Linked DNA regions of Cricetulus griseus. The protein of the gene in region 7 purifies or fractionates together with the protein of the main gene of each other region. This does not show direct contact. Links are inferred from orthologs where the notes say so. Each region holds a gene or a part of one and is shown on either strand. Other genes may lie near its edges. The genes, in order: Arhgef2, Ppp6r3, serine/threonine-protein phosphatase 6 regulatory ankyrin repeat subunit B, Ppp6r1, Tiprl, Cct2 and Ppp6c.

What was found.
Region 1: the proteins of Ppp6c (region 7) and Arhgef2 purify together in Homo sapiens (affinity purification with mass spectrometry; 4 studies listed by BioGRID and IntAct, with this or other methods). This does not show direct contact. The link is inferred for Cricetulus griseus from reciprocal best matches to the Homo sapiens genes PPP6C and ARHGEF2.
Region 2: the proteins of Ppp6c (region 7) and Ppp6r3 purify together in Homo sapiens (affinity purification with mass spectrometry; 10 studies listed by BioGRID and IntAct, with this or other methods). This does not show direct contact. The link is inferred for Cricetulus griseus from reciprocal best matches to the Homo sapiens genes PPP6C and PPP6R3.
Region 3: the proteins of Ppp6c (region 7) and serine/threonine-protein phosphatase 6 regulatory ankyrin repeat subunit B purify together in Homo sapiens (affinity purification with mass spectrometry; 5 studies listed by BioGRID and IntAct, counting the BioPlex papers as one, with this or other methods). This does not show direct contact. The link is inferred for Cricetulus griseus from reciprocal best matches to the Homo sapiens genes PPP6C and ANKRD44.
Region 4: the proteins of Ppp6c (region 7) and Ppp6r1 purify together in Homo sapiens (affinity purification with mass spectrometry; 11 studies listed by BioGRID and IntAct, with this or other methods). This does not show direct contact. The link is inferred for Cricetulus griseus from reciprocal best matches to the Homo sapiens genes PPP6C and PPP6R1.
Region 5: the proteins of Ppp6c (region 7) and Tiprl purify together in Homo sapiens (co-immunoprecipitation; 4 studies listed by BioGRID and IntAct, with this or other methods). This does not show direct contact. The link is inferred for Cricetulus griseus from reciprocal best matches to the Homo sapiens genes PPP6C and TIPRL.
Region 6: the proteins of Ppp6c (region 7) and Cct2 purify together in Homo sapiens (affinity purification with mass spectrometry; 4 studies listed by BioGRID and IntAct, with this or other methods). This does not show direct contact. The link is inferred for Cricetulus griseus from reciprocal best matches to the Homo sapiens genes PPP6C and CCT2.

Annotation. Positions count from the first base shown.
Region 1 is NW_023276806.1:65,869,395-65,872,894, forward strand, and holds part of Arhgef2 (rho guanine nucleotide exchange factor 2), read right to left. Parts: intron 3,370-3,500; coding exon 3,169-3,369; intron 2,842-3,168; coding exon 2,725-2,841; intron 2,618-2,724; coding exon 2,550-2,617; intron 2,414-2,549; coding exon 2,378-2,413; intron 2,187-2,377; coding exon 2,136-2,186; intron 1,948-2,135; coding exon 1,504-1,947; intron 550-1,503; coding exon 366-549; intron 1-365. UniProt on the Homo sapiens protein: Activates Rho-GTPases by promoting the exchange of GDP for GTP.
Region 2 is NC_048596.1:55,664,178-55,668,462, reverse strand, and holds the start of Ppp6r3 (serine/threonine-protein phosphatase 6 regulatory subunit 3), read right to left. Parts: upstream 2,801-4,285; 5' UTR 2,680-2,800; intron 1-2,679.
Region 3 is NC_048595.1:409,103,703-409,107,202, forward strand, and holds part of serine/threonine-protein phosphatase 6 regulatory ankyrin repeat subunit B, read right to left. Parts: intron 2,671-3,500; coding exon 2,583-2,670; intron 1,434-2,582; coding exon 1,316-1,433; intron 1-1,315. UniProt on the Homo sapiens protein: Putative regulatory subunit of protein phosphatase 6 (PP6) that may be involved in the recognition of phosphoprotein substrates.
Region 4 is NC_048602.1:23,283,754-23,287,088, reverse strand, and holds the end of Ppp6r1 (serine/threonine-protein phosphatase 6 regulatory subunit 1), read left to right. Parts: intron 1-540; coding exon 541-674; intron 675-764; coding exon 765-897; intron 898-1,024; coding exon 1,025-1,095; intron 1,096-1,218; coding exon 1,219-1,300; intron 1,301-1,734; coding exon 1,735-1,845; intron 1,846-1,934; coding exon 1,935-1,997; intron 1,998-2,077; coding exon 2,078-2,081; 3' UTR 2,082-2,835; downstream 2,836-3,335. UniProt on the Homo sapiens protein: Regulatory subunit of protein phosphatase 6 (PP6). May function as a scaffolding PP6 subunit. Involved in the PP6-mediated dephosphorylation of NFKBIE opposing its degradation in response to TNF-alpha.
Region 5 is NC_048598.1:27,164,825-27,168,883, forward strand, and holds the start of Tiprl (TIP41-like protein), read left to right. Parts: upstream 1-1,259; 5' UTR 1,260-1,390; coding exon 1,391-1,494; intron 1,495-4,059. UniProt on the Homo sapiens protein: May be a allosteric regulator of serine/threonine-protein phosphatase 2A (PP2A). Isoform 1 inhibits catalytic activity of the PP2A(D) core complex in vitro. The PP2A(C):TIPRL complex does not show phosphatase activity.
Region 6 is NW_023276806.1:139,274,439-139,278,504, forward strand, and holds the start of Cct2 (T-complex protein 1 subunit beta), read right to left. Parts: upstream 2,801-4,066; 5' UTR 2,648-2,800; coding exon 2,645-2,647; intron 2,047-2,644; coding exon 1,972-2,046; intron 1,865-1,971; coding exon 1,799-1,864; intron 223-1,798; coding exon 111-222; intron 1-110. UniProt on the Homo sapiens protein: Component of the chaperonin-containing T-complex (TRiC), a molecular chaperone complex that assists the folding of actin, tubulin and other proteins upon ATP hydrolysis.
Region 7 is NC_048599.1:150,486,031-150,490,170, reverse strand, and holds the start of Ppp6c (serine/threonine-protein phosphatase 6 catalytic subunit), read left to right. Parts: upstream 1-1,340; 5' UTR 1,341-1,459; coding exon 1,460-1,534; intron 1,535-4,140.

The DNA.
Region 1 (3,500 bases), on a different chromosome or scaffold from region 7:
TGAAGAGATGGCTCAGGGGTTGAAAGCACTGACTGCTCTTCCAGAGGATCTGGGTTCAATTCCCAGCACCTACATGGCAGCTCACAACTGTCTATAACTCCAGTTCCAAGGGATCTGACCTCAGATACACATGCAGGCAAAACACCAATGCACAAAAAACAAAAAAACAAAACAAACCCCAAAACCCTCAACAATCAAACAACAACAACATAAAACTTCTACTACCCCCGTGTCGTCACACAGAGCAGGGAGCCTGCCCAGGCTGTCCCGGAGTAACTGGGCCTCAGGAGTCATGTAAAAGTACACTCAGAAGCCACAGGCCCAAGGGCTTGGACCCAGACCCCACAACCCCACAAGAATCTCACCTCGTGGACTGTGGGGTGGAGACAATCGGCTACTGCCTTCCTCCTCACTGCCTGTGTCAGGGTCACTGCTGTCCTGCAGCCGCTCCTCGGGGCTACCAAGCTCCTGCCTCTCTCGATCTTCAAAGGGTCGGTGAAGGGAACGAACAGTCACAGGCATATCCAGGCGGTCATGGCCTCGACTGGGCTATGGAAAGCAAAAGCACAAATGCAGCGGATGAGCAGTGTGGAGACTGAAGGCACTGGTGTGCAAGGACACCGGGCCCTGGGGGGCCCCAACACACCTCGTCTCTTGAGGGTCACCAATAACCCGCATCCCCACCCCTTCAGAAGATCTACTACCAACTGATAATCCCCTCATCTCTATATCCACTGGGTCAAGTTGGTTCTCTAGCCTCAGCCTTCGCATGGACTCCAGGTATAATAATGCCCACATTGCCTTACATCGTCTACTGGCACAAATCTTGGGAGAACAGAGCGTATTTGTTGGAAGTACTGGAGATTTGCAGAGGACTTTGCCACACCTTAAATTTCTTTAAGGTAACTAGTATGTTTTTGTCTGTATGTGTGTGCACTTGTGTATAAGGAAGCCAGAGTTCTATCTTAAGAGTCATCCACCTTGCTTTTTTTTTTCTTCTCCCTTTTTTGGGAGGCAGTTTTTTGAGACAGGGTTTCTCTGTGGCTTTGGAGGCTGTCGTGGAACTAGCTCTTGTAGACCAAGCTGGTCTCGAACTCACAGAGATCCGCCTGCCTCTGCCTCCAGAGTGCTGGGACTTGCGCCACTACGGGCCGGCTGAATCATTCACCTTGTTTCATGGGAGAGGCCTGCTACTCAAAGAGGCTAGGCTAGTTAGCCAGAGAGTGGAGAGGATGAACCTGTCTCTGCCTCCTCGTCACTGGGATTGTGAGCATGTACCATCAGCCTTTGAACAAAGGTTTGGGGGATCGAACTCAGGTTCTCATGTTACATGGCAAACATTTTACCAACTGAGACATTTTACCCATATCCCAACTAGTACTGTCATTCAAATCTGTTCTCTGCTGTCACTTGGGGTTAAATGCCCAACAACCAAGTGTCCTTCAGGTTCTGCAAGCTCTTAGCTTCACTTGAGAGACACTCCAGAACTCCAGACAGCCTTACCTGAGGGGGATTGAAGCTCAAGTAGAGAGCATCGCCTGCTGGAAGGCTGCGGCGCCGAGGGTCCAGAGGCCGGCGAGCCCAGGGGGCCTCTGCTGGAAGTGGCTCATTTTGACCCAAGGCTGCCAGCTGTCGGCGGGCCTCTTCAGCCTCCCGCTCCAGCACGGCCCGAGCTTGCTCACTCTCTCGAAGCCGGACTTCCAGGTTGCTAGCTTCAGCTGCCCGCTCTTCAGCCAGCCGACGACAGCGTCGCAGTTCATCCTGCAGCAGAGTGTGTTGGCGCTGCAGCAGTGACAACTCTGTGGCCTGCTTCTCAGGAGCCACAGGAGCAACCGCTGCCCGGCCAGTTTCACCATCCCGAGAGTTGGCTCGGGATACCTTTTCCCACCGTTCAGGACCCTCAGGGAATCGGGCTTCCATCAAAGTGTCCTGCTGGGCCACAGCAGCCTGAGGATGGAATGAGGCCAAAAGGTGTTTCAGAAGCAATTTCCACCTACCTCTCTCTCAATCCCAGGAACACAGAAAGTTTGGCCTGGGGCGTACTGAGGCCTGTTGGGATGAATGTCACCTACATGGACACCTCTGGCTGGCACCCCCCCCCTTTGGAGCCCCCATTCCAGCTCTGGCTCACTGACCTGAAGGCCATGTAAAAGTCCATAGAGATTGACCAATCGCTGTAACGTCTCCTGAGGACAGATAAAGGTTGGATGCAGTGGTGCCCAAGCTTAGGATAAGTGCCCAGAAGTTGTCAAGAGGGTGTGGAAATAATGTCTAGAGACATACTTTCAGTACACACTCCCCTAAATCACCCAAACTGGGCTAGGCTTCCTCAGACAGACAGAACTTTCCTTTATCTACCACAGAATTCCCATCTCACCTCCTGGGGTGACCTCAACTGATTTCCATTCCGATCCTGCAGAAATGGACAAGGGTGGGGAGTTAGCAGGCACAGACAGACCTGGGGGGTGCTCCCAGCAGCTTTCCACTGAAGACCCACAGGCCAGCTGTGCCCTTTCTCTAGCCACTCCCTGACTCTCCCAGGAACCCACCTTTTGGCTGGAATCTGAGTCTGCTCTGCAGAGCTCGATGGAGCCATTGAAGGTTCTGGCCTCTCCATCTGTTGCAGAAGAGGAGGCGGAGCAGTGTATACTTACTTCCTTAGGGTCCTGTAACCCCACACCACTCTTTAGCCACTCCCTCCTTTCTTTCATGCCCCGTACTCACTGGCAGTGACCCCAGGACTGGTGTTACCACTGTCAGATTCCAAAGGTAAAGCTGGTTCTCGGGGTGTCAAAAGCAGGTCGGCACCAGGCCCCACCAGCAAGTCTTTCAGGCCTTCCACTGAAGGGAGAGGAGGAGGGGGCAGGAGTCAAAACGGGTGGGAGTCGCCAGACACACACACAGACCATTCAAGTATTTAGGGAGTCCACATTTGGGTACTGGGGTTTCAGTCAGCCATGTGGCATCCAAGGGACATCAAAGATGTCCAAGGGGTAGGAGCAGAGCCTGCCAGAGGGAGATGCATCCAACAACAGCAAAGTCAGATCTCGTCCCAGGACAAACCCTCAAGGGCCTTTATGAGTTGTGGGGTTGACATGGCCCTGGTCTAGGGCCTCATTATGTGAGGCTGAGTCAACAGTCTTGACCCTTCCGTAGGAGATCCCTCACCTTCACGGATGGCATCTCGCAAGAGCCGTTCGCCTCGAGGGGACTCAAGGGACTCGGAACGGAAAAGGCCCCTGGGCAGGGCGGGAAGGGGCATCCCACTGACACCATCTTCTTCTGCCTGGAAGTGGGTCATCTCGGCAAACAGCCCAACCTTCTCCTGCAGCAGCTCTACCAGCGCCCGGTCCTTCTGCTGCAGCTCCACTGTAGGAACAGGAATAGGTTAGGTGTGGGCGGAAAGGCCCAAGGACCCAAAGAGCCCGTTGACAGGCAGCCCAGGGGAGAGAGTCAGCATAGGCAGAGTGGAAGGACCTAATTTTGGGCTTGGAGCATTC
Region 2 (4,285 bases), on a different chromosome or scaffold from region 7:
TAAACTACCAACTACAAGGTTGATCATAGAAGCAAACTGAGTATCAACCCTGGCAAAAACTGTTCTAAGGAAGACATGCTTGTTTGTAACAGCACATTTTTCTAGAGGAAACCAACAAAGTTTCATCTTAAAGCAGATAAGCAAACCCCACCTGAAGTCCTCCTTTCAGTGCCATCTATTTTCTGAACTACAGACTACTCTTAAGTTAATGAAAACTAGCAAGCTCCTTTTGTTTATGTGGTTTATAGGTGGTTGTTTTTTGATTAAGTACAGTTGGGGATGGGATCAATATACTATACACAAAAGCTTAAGTATTTTAAAGCAATCAGTGTACTTAAGATGGAGTTTATCAAAACATTCTTCCCCACTGCATAAGTCAATCCAAGTCACAAGCAACTACCACCAAGAAGACAAGCCTATTTTCAAGTACCATGGAGAAGGCACAGGGCAGACATTAAAAGGCTGATTTCAGGTATGACTGAATGAGTGAAAGACACTGTTAAATGTTCTAGACTCCCTGGCCAAACAGTAAAGTGTAGAATAGGTCCCAGAACACCCACACACAACTCTACTCCCCAAGCTATGAACTGAGCACCCATTATCCAAAGTGGTTGAGACTACAATTTCAGTTTCGGATTTTGGAGTGTTTGCACAAACTTTACCAGTTTTACATTCCTAGAACAAACTGCTGCACCATCTGAAAGTTTGATGCTGAAAAGTCATCAGGTTTCATAGTGTTTAAATGTTAGGTATGTTTAACCTGCACCTTTGCTGAAGCTCTCGAGACTGCAGTCTTTCAATGACAGTAACAAGCAAGTGACACCAGGAAATCACCAAAATTATTGATTTGGGACAACCACACAGAAACAGTACCTAAAAGCAGAGGAATGGTGCTGTTTAAGCTCCAGGGGGTGTTTTCTATACATAAATATTGGTTTAGACAAAACACTCTCAAGTGTGATGACCTGTTGCTACAGTACATGTAGGTAATTTAGTGAATTTTCAACTTCGCTTCCAGTTTTGTTTTTTTTTTTCAGCCCACCTGATCCTTAAACACATGGCTTTCCTATTTTTACCTAAACATTTTAATTTTAAACTAGGTGTGTCGGTGCATACCTCTACTCATAGTGTTTGTGAGATAGATAAAGGAAGATCACGAATTTAAGGCTATCCTTAGCTGAATACAAAGGTCAAGAACATCTTAAGCTACAGGAGACCCTATCATCTCAAACAAACAAACAATAAATATTCAGTCACGTATAGTGGTGCATGACTTTAATCCCATGAGGCAGATGTTCTGGCCACACAGTGATACCCTGCCTCAAAAATGAATAAAATGAAAAGATCAAGTTGAATTTGGTAATTATGGTCACTACTGAACTGATTCCATGTGCCAAGCATGGTTCTAGCTGCTTTGTGTTAACTTGTTTACATATATACTCAGTTAGTTACAGGTCTAACTTGTACATTTGTTGGGACAAACTTATGGAACAGAGTTGTTTTCCCGGGTCACAGGGGCAGCAAAGGTAATTAATTTGCCCAAGGTCACAGGGCTAGAAAGTGTCAAAGCAAGATTCAATTTTCAAATGACCCAAAAAAAAGTTCAGCCACCACTGATAGCGGGATCTTGCACCTTGCTACTTCAAGGCACATTTCAGCGGTAGGAAATCTGAAGTCACTTTCTCACTGGCTGCTCCATCTGCAACATGACCTTGAGGACAAAAACCAAAGCAAACTTCACTTAAGAAAGTGAAACAGTATCCATATTAACAAGCGCTCTGATGGAAGGAAACACGTCTAAGTGACCCCCCTCCCCGCCCCGGGAAGCAAAACATAAACAAAGCCCTGACCCAAACTAAATAGACTATATCAAGTAGGGGAAAATGACAGTAGGTCATGCCTTAAAGAAGTCCAGGCTTGGAGCTAATCAGAACACTCATTCTGTCCCACCTACAACTTCAAGTCCAAGTTCTAAGAAAAGGCAACGAGAATGGAAAGGAAAAAACCTCCATGTTAACAGTGAACCGAGCTTCTTAACAGGGAGGTACTTGGAGCCACAAAGATAAGCCCTCACCCCAGCTCCAAAACACCGAGGAGTCTCGAGTGCCCCGGTTTGCGTTTAAGAGAACCTATGGCAGAAGCTGAGAATTCACAGCAATGGCCCCGGGAGACTCAGAACTGGTTTTTGTGTATCCCGATGACTCTGCGGCGAATGCCCAGAAACCCACAAAACTTGTTCCTCGGAGGACAAGAGTGCAACAAAGGCCTTCGCGAAGGTCTCCCGACGAGTTGACAAGCTCCGGGAGATCCCGAAAACTCGCTGGGAAGGCCCTGGCGCGGGAGCAGAGGAGCTCGTTCCGGACCCCCGACTTGGCTGAGCTCCTCGCCTCGCCCGGGCTCCCGCCTAGCCAAACCCGGAGAGTCACCTCGGCGTCCAAAGTTCGCCGCCGGCTCGGCCCGCTGCCAACGCGCGGCCGGGCTGACAGGAGCAGGCGACTCGGTCCCGGCCAGGACTGGACGCCGCCTCCCGGGCCGCCAAAGCAGCCGATTCCGGGGGGGAGGGGAGAAGGGCCGGGACGCTGCCTCCCCACGCCGCCGGGACCGGACCACCGCCCCCGTCGGTCGACCGCCCCCGCGCGGCCCGCGCACCCCGCGCCGGCGCTCCCTTCCCCGAGTTACCTGGAGGCGCCCACGACCCGCAGCTAGTCACGCTCAGGCGGGAAAAGGGCTCACCGACACCATCAGCGAAGCGCCCAAAATGGCGGACGTATCAAGCAGGCCTTGAGTTACCCCCGCCCTCCCTCCGGACGCCTGGCAGCCAATCACGGGCAAGACTCCGCCCCCTTCCCGAAGATAATTGGCCTGCCTCTCCCGCCCCCCACAACCTATTGGACCTCCCAGCGGCTCCCTCGCCTCTACTCCGATTGGCTCTCGGTTCTTGTCAGTCAAATGCGAGAGGCGCATTCTTTTTCCCATGGTCTTGACGGATCCGGAACCTCTAGGACCCCGGGGTCTGGGAAACAAGTCAGAAATTGGGAGAAGCTTGGGCTGGGTCCCTCTACGCCGTAGCAACAGCAGTGCCTCGTGTGACGGACGCTTCGGAACACCAATTCGCGTAGTCAATGCATTTTAAAACAAATGAGCCAAACCAATCCCGGCTGTGTAGCTTTAGATACGAGGGAGCCAATGAGGTAGCACAACAGGCAGTAGGGCAACGGCCGCGAGGGAAACCGGTGATGACGTGAGTCACAACAAGACTTGTGGCGGAAACTGCTCATGATTGGGGAATTAGCTCAAATGGTAGAGCGCTCGCTTAGCATGTGAGAGGTAGCGGGATCGATGCCCGCATTCTCCACTCTACAATTTTATAAAACAACACCTGCTTAAATTAACCGCTACAGACTAAAGGGACAACTCTAAAGATGGAATCAAAACCCCCAAATGCATAACGGACTGTTAGAAGAGGGTCTAGGTCATGAATTTTGTCACAGAGAATTTACACATGAATTTCTTCCAAATGCCAGTGTCCTACCAATTGTACCTTACTTTTGTCGAGCCGCAAGCTGAAGTCATGGACTTCAGAATCCACACTTGCAAGCCTCCCGAAATATCCCCGACTTCCCACTGTCATAGTTAATCCCACTTGTCAGTTCTCCTGGGGAAATTGAGCTGACCACAAGCATTCATTCCTCTATACCAACTGACTGAATGTGCTGTGACCAGCAGGCTGAACCTTGACTTCCCTGCCATAATGACCTGTACCTTGGAACTGTGAGACAAAAATGAACCCTTTCTCCCTAAAATTGCTTTTTTCAGAATATTTTATCACAGCAAGGTACTAAGAGAACTCCTTATATCCCTATGAATAACATGCCCTGTTTAGAGTGGACAGGACAGAATTCTGTTTGGGGGTACTGCAGCTGGCCATCAAGGGCAGCAAAGTTTCCCACTCTTGAAAGCCTTTTTTGAAACAGCATCCCTGCCATTTGACCAAGATGATCAAACTGAGGAACAGACTCTCCTGAGAAGGTAGTATGTCATAAGACAGGACAGAGCTCCAGATCCCTAGAGTGTTGGTGCCAGAGAGAGACAGGGTTTCACAGAGACCCCAGGGTGGGACTTTGGAGCTTCAAAGGCAGGAATGGCCAAGGTATGATGGGAGGGAGACTGGGTAGCAGAGGTGGCTGAGTCACACAGGCCTGGAGTGACAGTGCTCTCTCCCAGTAGTAACCACAGTGGTTCTGACTAGTCCAGTGATTCACTGAAACTCAGAGAGCACATAGTG
Region 3 (3,500 bases), on a different chromosome or scaffold from region 7:
ATTCTTCTTGTCACTTATTAGGCTGTTTATGCTGCCTCTGCATAACAACTTTATGATTTCTACTGTTGTCCATTTAGCTTATTTTTTCCCTTCAAAAAAAAAATCCAGCAGATATGTATAAAGAATTGGCCATGGGATACATACATTGCCATCATTTGTCACAAAGAGCAACAGAAATAGAATGACTGTTCAAAACCAGGTAATCACTGAATTTATTTTGGTACCTACACACTAGAATGACCATATATATGTGTGTGTGTGTGTGTGTGTGTGTGTGTGTATCTGTGTGTGTATTTGTGTATATGGTGTGGTGATATATTATTTATGATTTATTAAAGCTTGTCTGAGGGTTCAGAAAGCAAAGTTAGCCACAAGCCATAGAGGTCAGGCAATGGTGATACATACCTTTAATCTCAGTAGCCGTACTAGCTAGCCATAGAGTGAGGTGGAGGTAGCACACACCTTTAATCCCAGGACTCAAGAGGCAAGCAGATGGATCTCTGTTAGTTCAAGGCCACACTGATTTACATGAAATTGATTCAGTCCTAAAGAGAAACAGCTCACACAAAGGTGATCTCACCACTTGGGATCACTGGCCTTTCATCCCAAAATTAGGGAGATATAAAAAGGAAGAACCAAAGGGTCTCATGTGAGGATTTATTCTCCAGCCACATTGAGGAGAGGCAGCAGTCTAGGATTGCAATTTGAGGATTTATGAAGGTAGCTGGATCACCCTTTCAGTCTGAAGTAGAGTTAAGAGCTAGTGGCTGGCTGGTTTGCTTATCTGACTATCAGGTGAGCTTTAATAAATCATAAATAATATATACCACATGTGTGTATGTGTATATGTGTATATTTGCATATATGTGTGTATATTTATGTGTATGTGTATGATTTTTGTGTGTATATGTAGTGTATATGTGTGTATATATGTATATGTGTGTATGTATGTGTCAAATGTGGTTATCTCCAGGAGGTCTGATTACTGATGATTTTCTTTTCCTGCACTTAAAAATACATTTTGTAAGTATTTTGTGATATGCATTTTGTAATCAGAAAGGTGAGCCAATTTCTCCAACAGTAGATATTCATGTGTCTATTATCATAATCTAACACAAAGTCTTAAAGCAGGACCTAACTATAGCTTTCCTTATTGCATCGTTGTATAAAATTCTGTAATTTCGTTTTGACTGTGAAGCTAACGGACTTGTATTATGACACAAATCTTTTCCCCTAAGACCTCATGTAGGAAAAAAACAAAGCAAGTTCATTGAGCAGGTAGGTACTTGACTAAAGCTGGGAAAGGTGTACATACCCCTCTATGTAAAGCTGTGCATCCCACTATGTCAACAGCATCTACATTTGCTTCCTTTTCAAGTAACAACGAGACGGCATCGATGTGTCCATATGCTACTGCAAGCATCAGTGGGGTTCTAGGGAGAGAAAAATAGGAAGATTAAAAAGGACTTCCAGTGAGAGCAGAGTTTTCTCTCTATTCTTAGTAAGTGCCTAATAGTCTCTGGTAATCTAATTTGCTACTCTGTGCCATGGAGAACAAGAGATCTATTTCTGTTCTAAGGGCCTCATGGAATGGCGGCATAACACACAGGCCCAGGGCGAGGCAAGGGACAGTCTCATCTCAAGTAGTCATATTAATTCTACCATTTTCAAAACTGTGTGGCAACCACTAGGTACCAACTGGTTGGGACATGTGTGCACGCAGAAGAGACCCCTGCTCCTGTCACAGCAAATCTACCTTCACAGCAACCAGTGTCGAACTTTGCTCAAGACTTACCTCCATGGAAAGAGCTTCCTCACTTTGAAAATAAGGCTGACTAGTGTAGAAGAAGAAAGACAGGGCTCTGCTCTGACTCACTCAACCCCGTCCACCTGGGGATAGAAACTACAGTCTTTCCGTCTGTACTTCCTATTTGTAGGAAGAGCCTGGGTGAAAAACAGGCCAACAGATAGAGAAACAAACTCAGGAGAGAATACAAGCTGAAGGATTTTTTTTTTTTTCAAAACAGAGACAAACTCTTGAGGTCTGCCCTTTTGCCATTATTAATTAAAAAGTGGGAAATGGTAGCTTTGTCAGTCAAAGATGGGAAGAAATAAGAAATATTAAAAAATCAGGAAACATGGCTACAGTCAAGGTAAAAAGATGCTGGCTGTCATTAAGATATGCACACATCGCCAGGCATTGGTGGCGCACACCTTTAATCCCAGCACTCGGGAGGCAGAGGCAGGCGGATCTCTGTGAGTTCAGAGGCCAGCCTGGTCTACAGAGTGAGTTCCAGGACAGGCTCCAAAGCTACACAGAGAAACCCTGTCTTGAACCACCCCCTCAAAAAAAAAAAAAAAAAAAAAAAGGATCATCAAGATAAGCACACACCGAATACTTCACTTAAACATATGCCCTGGGGCGATCCTTCATTGTTCTAGGCTCCTTACCTATAAGTTTCACAGAGATGTACTCCTCCTATTCTAGAATTCAGCAGCCTGCCTTCTTCACTACTCCACAAACCAACCAATCAGCTCTTGTGACTGACACAACAGCCGGAGGCCAACATGAAAACACTTACTGTCCCTTGGCATCTTTCACATCAACCAGCTCCGGGTTGTCTGCTATTTCGAGTAGTAGTCTCAAACACAGCGTGTGACCATTAACAACTGAAAAACAAAATGATGGGCATTCTCTTTTTAAAAACCAGCACCCCAAAGTGAAATTCAGGTGGACTTCAAATCAGTGATTTCATACCACTGCTGACAGGTAGCCCTGGTTTCCAGTTCAAGAGAGTCCAGGTGGCCTGGCTCATGTGCAGAAGTAAAGATGCCCCTTTAGAAGAACAAAGCGCCTAAGTGAGTGTGAGGGGTGCTGGAAAGAAGCCTCACGGCATGATAAACCCCTCCTCTAGAATAAGGCATTTCCTCTGGTGTAGTGAATGGACACTTTGAGAAGCCTTACAGCTACTGTGGAATTCCACTCGGGGAACAAGAAGACAAATATCCTTAGCATTCCAGACATGGCTTCCTCTCTGAACAATAAGGATACCATAAAGGACACTGGACTTCCCTTGCTCTGGACGTAGTGAGAGAAGGGCACAAATGTAGTTATGTTGGATTGATAAAGGCCCCTCTTTCCAGTCACAAAAGGATGATAATTTGATTTCCACACAGTTTTGGAACAACACATATTAGAATTAGCTCACATTCAGCAGCAGCGTTCAAATGAACAACAGGAACACTGTCCACATTTTGTAAGCCATAGCATTCAGTCTGTTCTCTCTCTCTCTTCTCTTCTCTCTCTCTCTCTCTCTCTCTCTGCATATATTATATTATATATAATATATATATATATATATATATATATATATATGAGTTCCAGGTAACATTTTATTGCTGCTGTTGCTCTTAAAATTATACAAAAGCCTGCTACCATGTTGAAATCTGCCGGGACTTTAACATATGCCTAAAAGGAAAAGATTGGCATAGGACTGAGA
Region 4 (3,335 bases), on a different chromosome or scaffold from region 7:
TGAACTCACAGAGATCTGCCTGCCTCTGCCTCCCTCCCGAGTGCTGGGATTAAGCCTGGCTGATTTGTAACTCTCTGACTCATGTCCTTTTTGCCTACATTGCATCTTTCCTCACTACCTAGGTCTCTTTTCTAAATGTCACACTGTGCTCACGTTTGTACCGTTTACATACACACATGTGCTTTAGGAAGTAGGCTCTGCATAGGAGGGATAAGGTGTTTCCTGGCATTTATAGCTGGAGGAAAAAAGCAAAGTCAATCTTTTATTTGGAAAGGTCTGTGTGTATTTGACACTGGTAACAGCTGCGACTTGAGAGATGGTGCCTCATCTCTTGTGGTTGTGGCTGAGTCTTGTTCTGGAGTGACTCAGACTCCCCTTGTTTGCTGGCTTCTCCCTGCGGCATCTTCATTGCCTGGGTTCCCTGGACCTCCCTGGAGGCCTCTGTTGCCCATCATCTTGCGCTGTCCTGCTCTGTGGCTGGGGAAGTGGGTCAGTAGGCTGCCCCTAGGTGGCCTCCTAATGAGTTGGTGTCTGAGGCAGGAGTGGAGGAAGCACAGACAGCGAGGACGACGAGGATGAGGAGGAGGAAGAGGAAGAGGATGAGGGGGCTGCCCAGGCGGCCTGTGGAAGGGCCAGCCCTCCCTCCTTCCCCAGCCTAGGCCCTCAGCCTCCTGGTAAGTGTTTGGTGGCTTGTGCTCAGGTACACGGGGCGCGGCTGCCTTCTTGAAGCTCATCCTCTGTCCATGCTCTTTGACCTCTCACAGCCCCAAGTTGGACAGCCACCTTTGAACCAGTGCCTACGGATGCCCCAACAGGACCCTCAGTTTCCAAGAAGACAGACATGTCCTCTACCCAGATCCAGACCAGCTCTCCAGCCCACCGTGCCCCACAGCTCAGGTATGGATGGGCAGGGCAGGGCAGGCAGCTGTGACTGTCATCTGGGAGGGACTCCCACGCCCTGGTCCTCTCCTGAGCTTGGGTGTTGACCACAGCCACATGTTCAAGTTCCTGTCTTACCTTCTAGGTCTCAGGACCCCATACCCCCCTCAGCACCTCAGGAAGTCACAGACAGCAGCAAAGTAGCAGAGCCCTTGGGTGAGCCAAGCCGTCCCTTTCCCAGAAGGGCAAGGGCTCTGCCTCAGGCCCATGTGTGCTGTGAAGACAGCAGTAAGGCCATGTCTCAGCTTGCTGACATACGGCCCATCTCTCCTTCCACAGCCCCCTGCCAGGCCTTGGTTAGTGTTGCGGATGTCCAGGCCACTCTGCATGGGATGTGCTCTGACCCCAGCTCCTTGGACAGGTGACTGTTGGTGTCCATCTGAGCTGCTTGCTGGAGGAGGGGTAGGGGAAGCCCAGCCTCCTTGCTGAAGTGGCTGCTGCGCCCTTGTCCCTACTTGTCCTCAGCACCGGGCTCCACTTTGAGCTCCTTTGCCCCTAGAGCTGGCTGTTCCTTTTAGTGATGAAATGTTTTGGACAGTGGCAGGAGTGTGCGTGTTACCATAAGCGTACCCTGAAGGGGGTTGGCCACTGAGAGTCAGGTAGAAGGCTGAGGAGCCCCGGCTCTCCCGCCCCCATGCTCTCTCTGCCTTCAGTGTGCTCATAGGCTTCCCTGTTGTGAGGGCTCTGTGCCCCAGCCTTTTCTCACCTGAGGCCCATTCTGGAGAGACCACTGGCCTCAGCAGGCAGAGCCTGTCAGCAGGCATCTAACAGTAGTCAAACTGGTCTCTCCTACAGTGCAACCAGAGACCCCTCTACCTCTGTCCCAGCCTTTGAGGCCCAGAAGTCCCCCCAGACAGTGGAGGGGGAAAAGAACCCAGAACCTTTGGGGCTTCCCCAAAGCCAGAGGTGAGTTGGCCTCTCCAGGAGGTGTTGGATGGATGGGCAAGGATGGTGGGGCAGGAGGTAACCCCCAGTTCTCCTTTCTCCCCGAACAGTGCCCAGGCCCTTGAGACGCCCAATGGCTCTACCCCAGGAGGGCCCATTTCATCGGGTTCCCAGTGAGTGTGCCCCCAGCCTGGTGTGGGTGGGCAAGATGGGGTCACTGGACCTCCTCACACGTGTTTCCTTCTGTTTCTAGGTAGCTGCCTGGTGGCAGTGATGGCCAAATCCTCTGTCCTCCCCATGGAACCCCACCCCCCCCAGTGGGGCAGGATGGGTCCTTTGGTGGCCCTCTTGCCCATTTCCCCATATCCTGCATTCTCTCCTCTGGACTCCAAAGGAGGCTGGTGCCAGGGAGATGCCCTCACCCACCCCATTTGCACTGAGAAGAGAAACTATGGAGCTTTGTCTCCTAGAATAAAGATAGAGAGTCACATAGAGAGAGAGAGGAGAGAGAGAGAGGTATATTATATATTATATATATATATACATATATATATATATATTGAGGGAGGAGTAAGAAAGGAAGCCAGGACAATAGCTGGGTCAGCAGCTCTGAAGCACAGCCTCCCGGGAGTCGTCTGTCCAGCGGGGACCGGCGCTGGGCTTTGAGGCTGCTGACCCAGGCTCTGGTGCAGATGCTCACACCCGGCCTTTCACTCAGGACCACCTTGGGGTGTAACAGAGGGCGCTAGGCCCAGAGGGCCATGCGTTTGTTCAGACCTTGCACTTTGACCAGGCATCTGGCCCCTGGCCCTGGGGAGCGGGGCTTCCCTGGCAACATCCCTAGAGGGCCAGAACCGGGGATTCTGGGTGCCCAGTACCCTGAGGGTCCCAGCACTGCTGCCAAGTGGCCTTGTCCCAGCTCCTTCCCCCAGGCTGGCGTGAGTGTGCAAGTATGTGTGCAGGGTTTGTGTTTCATACTGCAAATATAAATAAAGGAAGACAGCTGAAGAATCCTGGTGTCAGACCTTGAGTTCTGGGACTCAGGGTTGGGTGAATCTGCTCTATATGGTCTAGAGAGAATGGCATTCTTTTGGAGGACACTGGTGAGTGTGTGAGAGTGTGTGTTTGTGAGTGTGTGTGGTGAGGAGTGCTTTTTTGTTTTGTTGTTGATTTTTTTTTGATACAGGGTTTCTCTGTGTGGCTTTAGAGCCTATCCTGGCACTCGCTCTGGAGACCAGGCTGGCCTCGAACTCCCAGAGATCCGCCTGCCTCTGCCTCCCGAGTGCTGGGATTAAACGCGTGCACCACCAACGCCCGGCTGAGGAATGCTTATTTTAAGTGTGTGTGTGGCAGGGGTGGGGGGTGAGGAGTGCTTATTATGCTCACCAGGTAGAACACGAGGAAAAGGGCAGCAGTCTTGTTGAGTTAGCGCTTTGGAATCCTCTCATCATGATGTGCACTGCCTTGGCCCTGTTTGGAGATACAGATCAGGGTAGGAGCTGTGTTGTCAA
Region 5 (4,059 bases), on a different chromosome or scaffold from region 7:
GAATGTTGAAATGGAGGAGGGCTTGGTGATATAAACCTATAATCCCAACACCTGGGATGTAGCAAAGTTCAAGTTCATCCTTAGCTAAAATAGTGAAGGTCAGCCTAGTCTATCTGAGACTCTTCCAGAAAAACTGTTGGGATGGATATTATTACATGTAGTTTCCTCATTCACTTCCTCATTATGTCTTCTAACAGATCCAGATAATGTGAGGTTTTCAATGAAACGTTAGTGAAAGGGCCTCAGCCGCCTTGGGAAGTACTTCAGTAGCCAACTGCTGTAGGCCAGTGACGAAGGTGGACAACCATCCACAATTCAAAAGGAACTTCATTCCATGGGGACGCTGACACGCCCCACTTCCCACAGGCAATGTGAACGGAGTAACTGTAGTAGGAAGCAAAAACGGAATGACAACACAATGAATTAACCCAGAGACCCTGGGCAGGGAAATTGATGATGGGTCAGAAATACATACAGAAATACCCGAGGAGGAAAGGGGTTATTATTACACCTCTAACAAGTCAAGGCAGGAACTGAATCACGAACCATGGAGGGACGATGCTTAGTGGCTCCAGAGTCGATGAAACGTTTCGTGCAAGATGGGAAGGAATAAAAAGGGGCCACTGGAATTGAGATGGTTAACAGTTCTGAGAGATGCTCTAACATCTCTTTTTTGAGGCAGCCGAAGCCAAAAATAATCAGTAGTGTTTTGATCCAAAGATACACAGAGTTGCACTGCAGGCACAGACGGAGCCCAGGCTCCCAGCGTTGTTCCCACTACACCGGTGTGCAGGCAGAAAACGCCTTATTAAACCGTCAGAAGGATAACTGGGCGCTCCCTTCGCGATGCTGAGAACGGGACACAGGGCCTCGACGGCTCGCAAGGCAAGTGCGTGCTCTTCCACGGAGATGCCAGGCGGAGCCACCATCAGTCGCTGGCTCGAAGGCCACTGATATATTCTGTTTGGCTTGGGCCTTCTAAACGCTAGGGGCGTCGGGGATGTCCTCATTACCGCGACTCAAAAACGCACCACACTGCCGGGAGGCGTCTGTAGGGAGCAGGGAAAGCAGAGAAGCAGGGAGCTCGGGGTTCAGAGTGACGTCACCGGGAGACTTCCGGGTGCGCGCCCACGAGAACGCCCAGGCGTCCTAGGCCCCGCCCCTCAGCTTCCTCACGTAAGACGCGAGTCACGCAGAGCCCGTGGCTGGTCCCGGAAGCAAAACCAGTAAGGGACAGACGCGACGGCGGAAGGGCGGGCCCTCGGCGCGGCGGCAGGGGGCGGGGCCGGGATGGTAACGGACAAACCCGGGAGCCGCGTTTCGGAGAGGGCCGCTCTGTGACCGCTGCCGCCGGCACTTGCTCCGAGTGGTCCTGCGGTCCACCTCTGCCATGATGCTCCACGGCTTCCAGAGCAGCCACCAGGACTTCTCCTTCGGGCCTTGGAAGCTGACGGCGGCCAAGACCCACATCATGAAGTCTGCGGATGTGGAGAAGTGAGGCTGCGGGGCGGGGACCGGGACGGGGACGGGGTCGGGGTCGGGGACGGGGACGGGGACGGGGTCGGGGACGGGGTCGGGCCCGGCCGGGGATCGAGCGGGCTCGGTGCAGCTTCGCGCGGGTCTCGGAGCCGCAGGCTCTGCCCCTCTGAGGCGACCGTTGATTGACAACTTTAGTGAATGGTCCTGTCCCCGGCTCGCGACCTCTGCTTGCTGAAACTGTCGCTTCGCAGGCTTGAACTGAGCGCGGCCGTTTTGGTGGACTTTGCCCTCGCCCCTCCTGTCTGATACCCTTACCTAAGCCCGCGCGCCACCTTTCTGGGCGTGGATGACCCGTTTCCCTCGGGAGCAATGACAGAAATGGCATTTATGTTTAGCTTCTAGCCTGTGGGGATGTGTGGTGGTGGGCGCCTGAGATTCGGAACGTCACGAATCATTAAGTCCCCGGACTTCATAGTTTGTGAGACCGTTATGTTACTCCGTGACTGTTTAGGATGAAGTTGTATACTCGGAGCGATTTCAGTTTTCAATTTTTTTTTTAACTTTTAGCAAATGAGGTGCTGTGATAAGCACTTGAGATATGGAAGATGAAAGATAAAGTCCTGAGGAATTTCTAGTTTCCTGAGAGACCGTTATAATTATGTGGCTCTTTAGGATGAAGATGTATGTAGACGGGGCTATTTGTGTTGTGTGTGTGTGAGTCAGTGCATCAGAGCAGAATCTTTTTTGTTTCCTTCGAGGCAGGGCTTTTCTGTGTGTAGCTCTGGCTTTCCTGGAACTCTCTGTAGGCCCGGGGTGGCTTCGAACTCACTGAGATCAGCCTGCCTCTGCCTCCCAAACGCTGGGATTTAAAGGCGTGCGCCACCACCTGCCTGGCCTGGGCAGAATCTTGATCAAGTCTGGGTGGGTGTGTAAAGCCAGGAGTCAGCTCTGAGATGTTTGGGGATGCTTGAACTGTATCTTGACAAAATTGGTGTGTGTGTGTGTGGGGGCAGCCTGGCAGAGTGTGTTTGGAGAATTCTCTCTGGTGTCACTGGAGAGTAAATTCTCTGTTGTACTAAGGAGTTTGGATTTTATCTGATAGCCACCAGGTGTTATGGTTGGTCAGAAAGGTTTCTTGGAGGTGTGTTTAGAAGATGGATTGAAGGGCTGGGAGCTGGAAAGGAGGCCAGGAAGTGGCAAAGAGACAGTTGGAGAAGCTAAGATTAGGCGCCTACGTTTGATGGCCAATTGATGGATAGGATATGATAGCAGGATCCTATTTAGAGATTTAAAATGTATATATGCAAAAGAATCCCAGCACTGGGAAGACAGAGGCAAACAAATCTCTGAATTTGAGGCCAGCCTGGTCTGCAGAGTGAGTAGGACACCCAGGGCTATGCAGAGAAACCCTGCCTCCCCTACCCCCAAGGGGGAAAAAACAAACAAAAAAAAAATAGCTTTTTTCCCCCTTACAAAACTATTTTCAATTGAACATTCAGTATTCCTTTTTCACTATTAGAAGTAATTAGTATGTAATTGTACTTGGTTATTTTCTATAGCTATCCTTCATCAGAAAGTATAAATCTGGTCAAATTATTAGAAAGTTTGGTTCCTGTGGCCTCAGGGTGGAGTTTAATTGTCCTAGAGCCTTGTAAGCAAGTGTAGTGACTGTGGCCCTAGGGTGGAATGTAGATTCCTAGAGCCTTGTAAGTGTTGGTTTCTACCCTCCTTAGCTACTGTTGCTTCTTTTTATCACCAATTTTGAAATTGCTTAGAAGTTGAAAATTTTACCAGAAGAGTTGTTTTTTTCCCTTACAAGTGACAGGTCCTTCATTATCTTTTCTTCATAGCTATTATTGATATCGATGTCATATAAAAACACAGTGCATTAAGTCATCTCCTAGGTGATATTTAAACTCTGTCTCTCTCTCTGCCTCTCTCTCTCTCTCTTTAAACTGTTAATGGGCCTTTGACGACTCAGAAATGAGATAGATGTTTCTCATAAGGAGCAGTATTTCTTCGCTCTAAACCCTAATTTATTTGATCATATAGGCTTTTTTTAATTGATTTTAATATGTATACAGATTTTAATATGTACACAAAGACTTGTTTAATATGTCTAATTGGAAATAAATGCAAAACTGTTGGAAAGAGTATAAATGTGCATTGTTCTTTTCTTGACCTTATATAAGACTATATTGTTACATAATGGTTTTGTTTCCTGATGACATTTTCCTACATGTACATGATATATTCCAATCACATTCACACCTCTCATACTACACTTTTTTTTTTTTGTTTTTTTCGAGACAGGGTTTCACTGTGTAGCTTTGGAGCCTATCCTGGCACTTGCTCTGGAAACCAGGCTGCCCTCGAACTCACAGAGATCTGCGTGCCTCTGACTCCCGAGTGCTGGGATCAAAGGCGTGTGCCACCAATGCCCGGCTATACTACACTCTTATTCCCCTCTGATTTCTACTAATCTCTTTTTTATTCCCACCTTCTATTTTCTTTTAAGAATATATTTTTTTTTTTGAGACAGGGTTTGTTTCTTTTTTGAGACAGGGTCTCACTTGTAGA
Region 6 (4,066 bases), on a different chromosome or scaffold from region 7:
AGCCCCAAATGGATAATAATGATACTTCTGAAATTCATTTCAACAATGGCTAATGACGGCTATCATTTAAATAGTTGTAAAATTATTAACAAATAGATATGCAGACTCACCAACTAAAACTTTAGCTGCTGGGTTGTCAACACCAATGTTTTTTAGAATGGTGGCACCATCATTGGTTACCATTAGAGAGGCATCTCGTCCACTGCTTAGAAGAATTTTGTCCTTAAGAGAAATTGGTTTGTGTCAAATTGAGGAGTAAGTACTTCTTGAAGAAACCTGGAGTCAGTAACTGCACTCAGCTTTCCATTGCTGACACACCAACACTCTGGGTGGTTACCTGACCACCAAACATTTCAATGCATGTATCCGACAACCAACCCTCAAAAACTTGGAGGTACAGGTAACACAAACTAGCTCTGCTACAGCACCATGACAGACAACAATGGAAGCAAATGTCCATGAACAAAGTTAAAAGCAAACCCCAGAATACTGTATTGTGGTTAAAGAAAAATAACGTATTTTTAAAAATCATCACAATGGAACCCTCCTTATGCTAGTTAAAAGATCAATTTAAAAAAATTGGTAAAAATCCACAAGAGGGAGTTCAACAAAAACAGAGTGCTGAAGACAGGGTCAAAGAAAGCAGTGGGAGGCACTGAAGGAGGAGGTATCAGGGAAGTTGAAAGTTTGCTGGGTGACCTTGACCCAAGTCAGGGCTTGGCCATGTGTGCCAGAGAGGAGATGGCTTGGGTTTAGTTATGTCTTGAAATTGGAAGTGTGGGGTTTGTTCAGAGTGTTTATGATATCGAAGGACATATGGACAGTTAATGACTTTAGTGGAATGAAGCAGTAGTAGGCATTTGGCAATCATTTGGGCAGAGGAAACATAGGCGTCTGAGAAGAGATGAGATTTGTGTGGAACAGGTGATCATGAGAGAACAGGAGCCTAAGGGTGAGGATGAGTTATTAACAATGGAGGGGTCAGACAGGAAGGAGCTGGAGGACCCTCTTGTGTATGAGAAGGATGGGGAAAGAGGTCTTGGAGAGTTTTTTGACAGGAGTGTAGAGGATCTGGGGCAGAAAGGAGAATGCTAAGGAAAAGGGTAAGTATGGAGGGATTGAGGGAATGACGGGTAAGGAATGTCAGTGATGAGTTTTTGATAAAGAGAAATTTGGAGATAAAATCTGAGGCGATGGAAGTGACAGTAGAGTCCTTTGTAAGTTAGGAGTTGAGGGGAATAGTGGTGGGAACAGATGGTAAGAGGGGATCAATAGATTGTGAGAGCAGATCCCGGAGCTTGTAAGATTTAGTGATGAGCAGAAGGGCTGTGAAAGAGGGCATTCTACAGAGTTCTAGAGAGGAGTAAGCAACAGGGGCAAAGGTCCTTCTTAGGAAGTGTCTATGTATTTTGGAAGTGTTAATGATGGAAAGGTTTGTACAAATCTGAGAGGCAGAGGGCTGGAGCAGAAGAGAGAACACTTTAAGAGATTGATTGTGGGTGGAAGGACAGTAAGGCTATAAAAATAATAAGCATGTCAAAAGAGGTAGCAAAACTGACAGAAGCTTAGAAGAGGACACCAAAAAACCAAGTAGACACCAATAGCACATACACATAAAAGTGTTATCTTAGAAATGCATTATGAAAATCTATGATAAACTTAAAAATACTACCAGGTTTTGCATATAAATGGTAACACTTGCTGCCAGTGGAGAGTAATGTTCGATTGGGGATGGGGATACAGGAGGATAATTTTTTATAATTTAATGTTTTAGCTTGCAAAACATAATTTTTCTTACCATGCCCTTGGGCCCCAAAGTGCTCTTCACCAAGTCTCCAATGGCGATGGCACCAATAAAGGATGACTTAAATTAAAAGAGAAAAAAAGAAATCAGAAAAGGCGGTCAAAACTTACCAGAAGAGAGAAAAGTACAATCTTGTCATTTAAAAGAGGCGGAATGAACGGGCTTACCAGGCGAGCTGTTTCGGCTCTCTCTTCATCAGCTCCAGCCTTGAAGATATTCACAGGTGCCAGGGAAAGGGACGCCTAAAGAAAGGGAAACCAAGATACTCCGTTTGAATGCCAGTACTCTTGAAATTAACACATGTCGGGAGTCCGTCATGGGAGTGGGAGTTTATTTAAATGGCGAGAGGGACTTACTGGTGGGCGCCAGGAACCAATCAACCGGCTGGTATGTAGGGCTAAACTAAAGGCAACACTAAGGGGGAGGCAAGCGGCGTCGGAGGCACAGTGGTCCCAACCACCAGGGACCCTCCATCTTCCACAGGCCTGCACAGCCACCCGCCCGTCAGGCCCCGCCCCGAGGAGGGCGGGGCTGACAAGAGTACTAGAAACTTCTTCGTTTGGGGTGAGTCCCGGGGGTCATCGGGGTCCCCTAACCACGAAGATAGTTGATCTGAGACAGAGATGCTGGCTTGGGGTGCACTCTCCCTTCGCGCCCCCCGTAGAGAGTTCGGTCTGCGGATCCCACGCAGGCCTCACGCCCGGCCATGTGCGACCGGCCGGCCCGGGAGACGGCCTCAGGGGGCCTGTGTCTCCCGTTAGATAAAAGAGAGCGGCGGGGAAGCGGGACACAGCGGCACCCGGGCAGGAGCGGAGGTCGTGGCCCGAAAGCTAAGCTCACCATGGTTCCGACGAACTCAGCGCAGAGGATAATCCCTCACAAGCCGCGCCGGGAAGACGGCAGGGGAAAGGAAGGCGGAAGTGACGACACACTCTACCGAGGGGGGCGGAACCGACCGCGCAGGTTTCCGCCCGTGCGACCGCCTCCCTCCTGCGTAGTGGGCTGTGCCGGAAGCGTAGCCTCTGGAGGCCGGGGGTGGGGGGTGGGGGGACTGGACTCGCGCCACGCCCAGTGGCGGAAGTCACTGCAGATGGGGGAGGGGCTAAGGGCGGGCCCATTTAGAGTAGAACTCCAGAACAAAGAGACACAGAAACTGAGTTCCTGCTTACATGTATTTTTAAGGTCAGATGTACAGTTTCAAGTGTTGTACGCTAATCATTTCCCTCACTAACTCTCCCTGGAAGCAAACACTCAAGTTTTCATCTTTTTTTCCCTTTGTGGGGATTATTTACCTGCGTGGAGACTACTTCTCTTTCTGGGGCATAAAGCCCATGTTACACAGAATTCCCCTAGCTGGCCTTTTGTTTGTTTTTGTTTGTTTGTTTTGTTTGTTTTTTTGGCTTTTTGGAGAGCGGTCCAGAAAACTTAGTAGGGAACTAACCTGCTCCTTAGTTAGAAGCATAGCCTTGGAAAAGGCTGCTCTGGTTGACAGAGCTTTCTGAGGCTTTGTGACGAGTCTGCCGATAAAACGCTTTCTGTTCCCAGTGTCCGGATGACTCACAGCTGCTTTTCTAATCAGCGGGCCCGGGGGTGCTTGCCTCATGCCACACTTCAGGTGTTTGTCATCGGTTGCCACATTTGAGGCAGGAGTGGCTCCGGCAGTGGCTCGGGCAGCCTGGGGTAGCAAGCTGCTGCTGGGGTGTCCATAGTCTGACAATCTCCTTGTTCAGTTCTCTCTCTCTCTCTCTCTCTCTCTCTCTCTCTCACACACACACACACACACACACACACACACACACACACACACACACACACACGTACGTACGTTTTTTTCTTTTAAGTTCTACCAAAAATTGGGTTTTCCACCCTTCTAGTTATAATCATTGCTGGCTGGTGTAGCATACTGGTCAAAGGGATGCTCTCGGGAGCTGACTTCCTGTTTTGTTTTTGTTTTTTGTTTTGTTTTGTTTTTCAAGACGGGATTTCTCTGTGTTGTCTTGGAATTAGCTGTGTAAACCAGGCTAGTCTCAGAGATCTAACTGCCTCTGCCTCCTGAGTGCTGGGATTAAAAGTGTGTGCCACCACTATCTGGCACAAACTTCTTTTTAACAATTTAATACTGGCCGGGCTTTGGTGGCGTATGCCCTTAATCCCAGCACTAAGCACTCGGGAGGCAGAGGCAGGTGGACCTCTGTGAGTTCAAGGCCAGCCTGGTTTCCAGAGCGAGTGCCAGGATAGGCTCCAGAGAAACCCTGTCTCCAA
Region 7 (4,140 bases):
AGGGTCTCCTGGTTGACAACTTGCTAACTTAGACCGAGCTATCCTAGAGCTCACAGTTATCCATTTGCCTCTCCAGGGCTGGGGTCAAATGTGTGCTCCACTATCGATGGCTGATTGGTTAATTCTTTTTCTAATTTTTTTTTTAAAGATTTATTTATTATGTATACAGTGTTCTGTCTGCATGTTTGCCTGCAGGCCAGAAGAGGGCACCAGATCTCATTATAGATGTTTGTGAGCCATCATGTGGTTGCTGGGAATTGAACTCAGGACCTCCAGTGCTCCTAACCTCTGAGCTATCTCTCCAGCCCCTGATTGGTAGAAAATTACAGGTTGGAAACAGAATATATATTCTTAAATTTTTATTATTTTATTTATTTTTGTCTTCAAGTGGGTTTGTGAATTACATCCATACAGTGCCCCAGAGACCAGAAGAGGGTGTCTGATCCCCTGGAACTGGGCTTACAGGATTTGTGAGCAGCCTTGTGGGTGCTGGTAATAAAACTTGGATCCTGGTCCGGAAGAGCAGCTAGTGCTCTTAGTCACTGAGCAATCTTTCCAGCCTCAAGGATAGAGATTTTCGTCTACTGTGGTCACTAAGCTCCTACAAGCTATCTGTACTTAATTACTGCTCAATATACAGTCGTCAAATGAACCAATGTTAAAGCTATATTAGATGTCAAGAACTGTTCTTAACACGAGGATACGACAAAAATCAAACAAAGTAAAAGCAACAAAAACTAAACCCTTCTTGCCGCCCCCTGGGACTCACACATTTAATCAAGTCAGTAGTCTGTTTTTTTAGTCTAGGCTCCACCTTTTTTGTTTCCTTTGATATTTGGGGGAAGTAACACGTGCAAATTTTGCACGCCCTTCGGTCTTACAAGAAAAGGAAAAACAGCGCGCCAGTATTTGTACAGAATTTAGCCTAAGAAATGCTTTAATATTTGTTTGTTTTCTTCCAAGCCAGAGAATTGGGTGTGTTAAATCTGTTCTACACATCTAGGCCGGGGTCTTCACTAGCCCTGGAAAGTCGGCAAGTTACCCTAACTTTAACTGAAAATGCTGAGTGCTAGGGAAAACCTACTTATTCACTTGGTAGTCTTCCCGCAGAAAAGCCTCATCTGATTTCCCTGACATGAAGGGTAGGAAAGGAAGAGCATTCGGATTCACGAAAACTACAAATCCCAGCATCCTCCGCGGCAGACAGCTACGGGTCCCAACAGGCTTTGTCAGCAGGACCCCCGGAGTTCGGCCTGAGAGGGCGCAGGGCGTGTCGAGGCGCGGAAGAGAAGCAACTCAGGTTTTGACGTCGCTGCGCAGACGCCACTCACGGGTCGGACGTGACGTAAGGAGAGTTCCGGCTTCGGCCTCCGCCGCTGCCTCCAGTACTACCGCTGCCGCCGCCGCCGCCGCTGCCGCCGCCGCCGCCCCGCCGCCACCGCGGCTTGTTCTGCCTAAGATGGCGCCGCTCGATCTGGACAAGTATGTGGAGATCGCGCGGCAGTGCAAGTACCTTCCCGAGAACGACCTGAAGGTGAGCCGGGCCGGAGCCCGTCCTGCTGGCGAGGCAAGCCCCTTCCGGCCGTGGGGCGTCCGCCGGCCGCCCTTCTCCCCCGGCCGGACCCCGACCGGGCACCCGGCCCTGGCGCGGCGGAGGGCGCTGCGCGGTGCGAGGCCACCGGGCCCGACGCGGCGAAACGCGGAGAACCAGCGGAGCCCGAGTTCCCCGAATGCTGGCGCGGCTCCCTGAGGGGGTCCCGGGCATGTGCGGTCCCCCGGCCCCCCCTGGCTCAGCCTCTTGGGCTCTGACACGCTCGGTCTGCCAGCGGGCAGGGCTCTCGCGATGGGGTCCTCCCGGCAGAGGGGACAGGAGCTGCTGACGGCCCCAGGACGCGGGTGTCCGCAGTGTGTTTAGGAAGCCGGTGGGCGGGATCGGTTGACAGTAGTAGGACATTGTCAGTCGCCTGAGCTTCACCACTCCCCCAAATTGCTCCCTAATTAGCAGTGCTAGTTTTCTTCTGATAATTCGGATGGGGATCCCATTTCTCAGCACGGTGCTGAGCTATTTAAGTGAACAAGCGGTCGCTTATCAAGAGTGCAAATGCTTTTATGACCTCTGAGCTGTTCCCCCATAACCCAAAGTGTCGTTTTCTTCGTTTCTCAAGGTCTCACCCAGCTCAAGTTAAGAGTGTTGAAAGAATGAATGTAAAGGAAGCAAGCCGTTGGTAAACCACTGTTTTCAAACGTATTTTGCTTCTGCTAAAGCTAGTGCTTAGGTCTCCATTGGTGTTTATACGATGGTTGCTAGTTTTATTCCATTACCTTTGATTTACTGTGTGGTAAATACATAAACGCTCTCGATCACTTGAATTCTTTTAGGCTGTTTTTGTAATCATTTTAAGTCATGGGCTTAAAACTTTTTTCAAGAAAAAAATCTTGCTGATGAATTATATTTCTCCTAGGCAAGATGTTGCTCTGTGTGCGTTTTCCTGTCTCATTTGATACATGAAGTTGATCAAACAATATGCAAAATGTTTAAGATCACGTGTGCTGTTTGTGTGAAAGTACCTAACTTGTACTTAAATATTGATTGTATGTGTTACGTGGTTGGTATTCACATGTTCAGCCACCTGCATCTTTCAGTCATTTGGCTCTTCTTTCTGCTTGGTAATTTTTTTAGTTTTGTTTTCTGTCTGAGATAGCATCTTAAGATAGGTCTTGCTGGGGCTGGAGAGATGTCTCCGCGGTTCAAAGCACTGGTTGGTCTTCCAGAGGACCTGAAAATTCTATTCCCAGCAAGGACATGGCGGTTAACTCCTGTTCAAGTGATGTGATGCCCTCTTCTGGCCTTTGCAGGCATCAAGGCACATACCTGTTTCACAGACATACATGCAGGCAAAAAGTCATACACAAAATAAAAGTAAATCTTAAAAAAAAAAAAAAAAGTTCATCGTGGCCTCCAACCCACTAAATACCTGAGGATGACCTTGAATTCTGATCCTTTTGCTCCCACTTATCAAAAGCTGCAACTTAAACTACCATGCCTGGCTGCTCTGTGCTTATTCTTTCTTTTTTTATAAATAAATAAGATTTAGTTTTAATTAGTGTTTGTGGAGGGAGGAAGAGTATGGGCACATGGTGCCTTTGGAGGTCATCCTGGAGCTGGAGTTACAGGCAGTTTGTGAGCCACCAGATGTAGGTGAATAAAACTGAACTCAGGTCCCTTATACAGTCTAAGTGCTGAGCCATCTCTCCAGTTCACACGCACACACAGGATTATGTAGCCCAAGCTTGCCTAGAACCCCTGGGTCTGCTTCTACTTTAATAGTGGTTTATTCTATTTTATTGTGGTATGAGGATTGAAATTAATTTTGAAAAGTTTTGTTATTTTTATTTATGTTTTTGTATGTATGCCTGTGTGAATTTATGTGTACCGGTGCTGGCAGAAGCAGAGAGCATCCTAACCCTGGAATTGGATTTATAGGTGGCATGAGCTAACTGATGTAGATGCTGGGGGTCAAATCTGAGTCTTCTACAAGAAAAGTAAACCTTTTGTTTTGTTTTTCCAGACAGGGTTTCTCTGTGGCTTTGCAGCCTGTCCTGGCACTCGCTCTTTAGACCAGGTTAGCTAGAACTCCCAGAGATCTGCCTGCCTCTGCCTCCCGAGTGCTGGGATTAAAGGCATACACCACCAACATCTGGAGAAAAGTAAACTTTTAACAGCTGAACCATTTCTCCTGTTGTATGCTTTTTAATTTTATTTATTTATTTTGTTTATCAAGACAGGGTTTCTCTGTGTAGCCCTGACTGTCCTGGAACTCCCTATAGACCAAGCTGGCCTTGAATTCAGAGATCTACCATGTATGTCTCTGTCAGGGTATGTGCACCTGAGTGCAGACACCCTCAGAGGCCAGAGGCATTAGATCTCTCTGGAGCTGCAGTTACAGGTAGTGGTAAGCAGCCTGACGTGGGTGCTGGGAATAGAACACAGGTCTTCTACAAAAGTAGTTAACCACTTTGTCGCTTCTTCAGCCCCACATGTACATGTCTCTTATAGACTTCCATACGGCCCCCCACTCCTCCCCACCCCCCCCACCAAAGTTTTTGGGTAACTATTGGGTAGAATTTTTTTCCCCTATC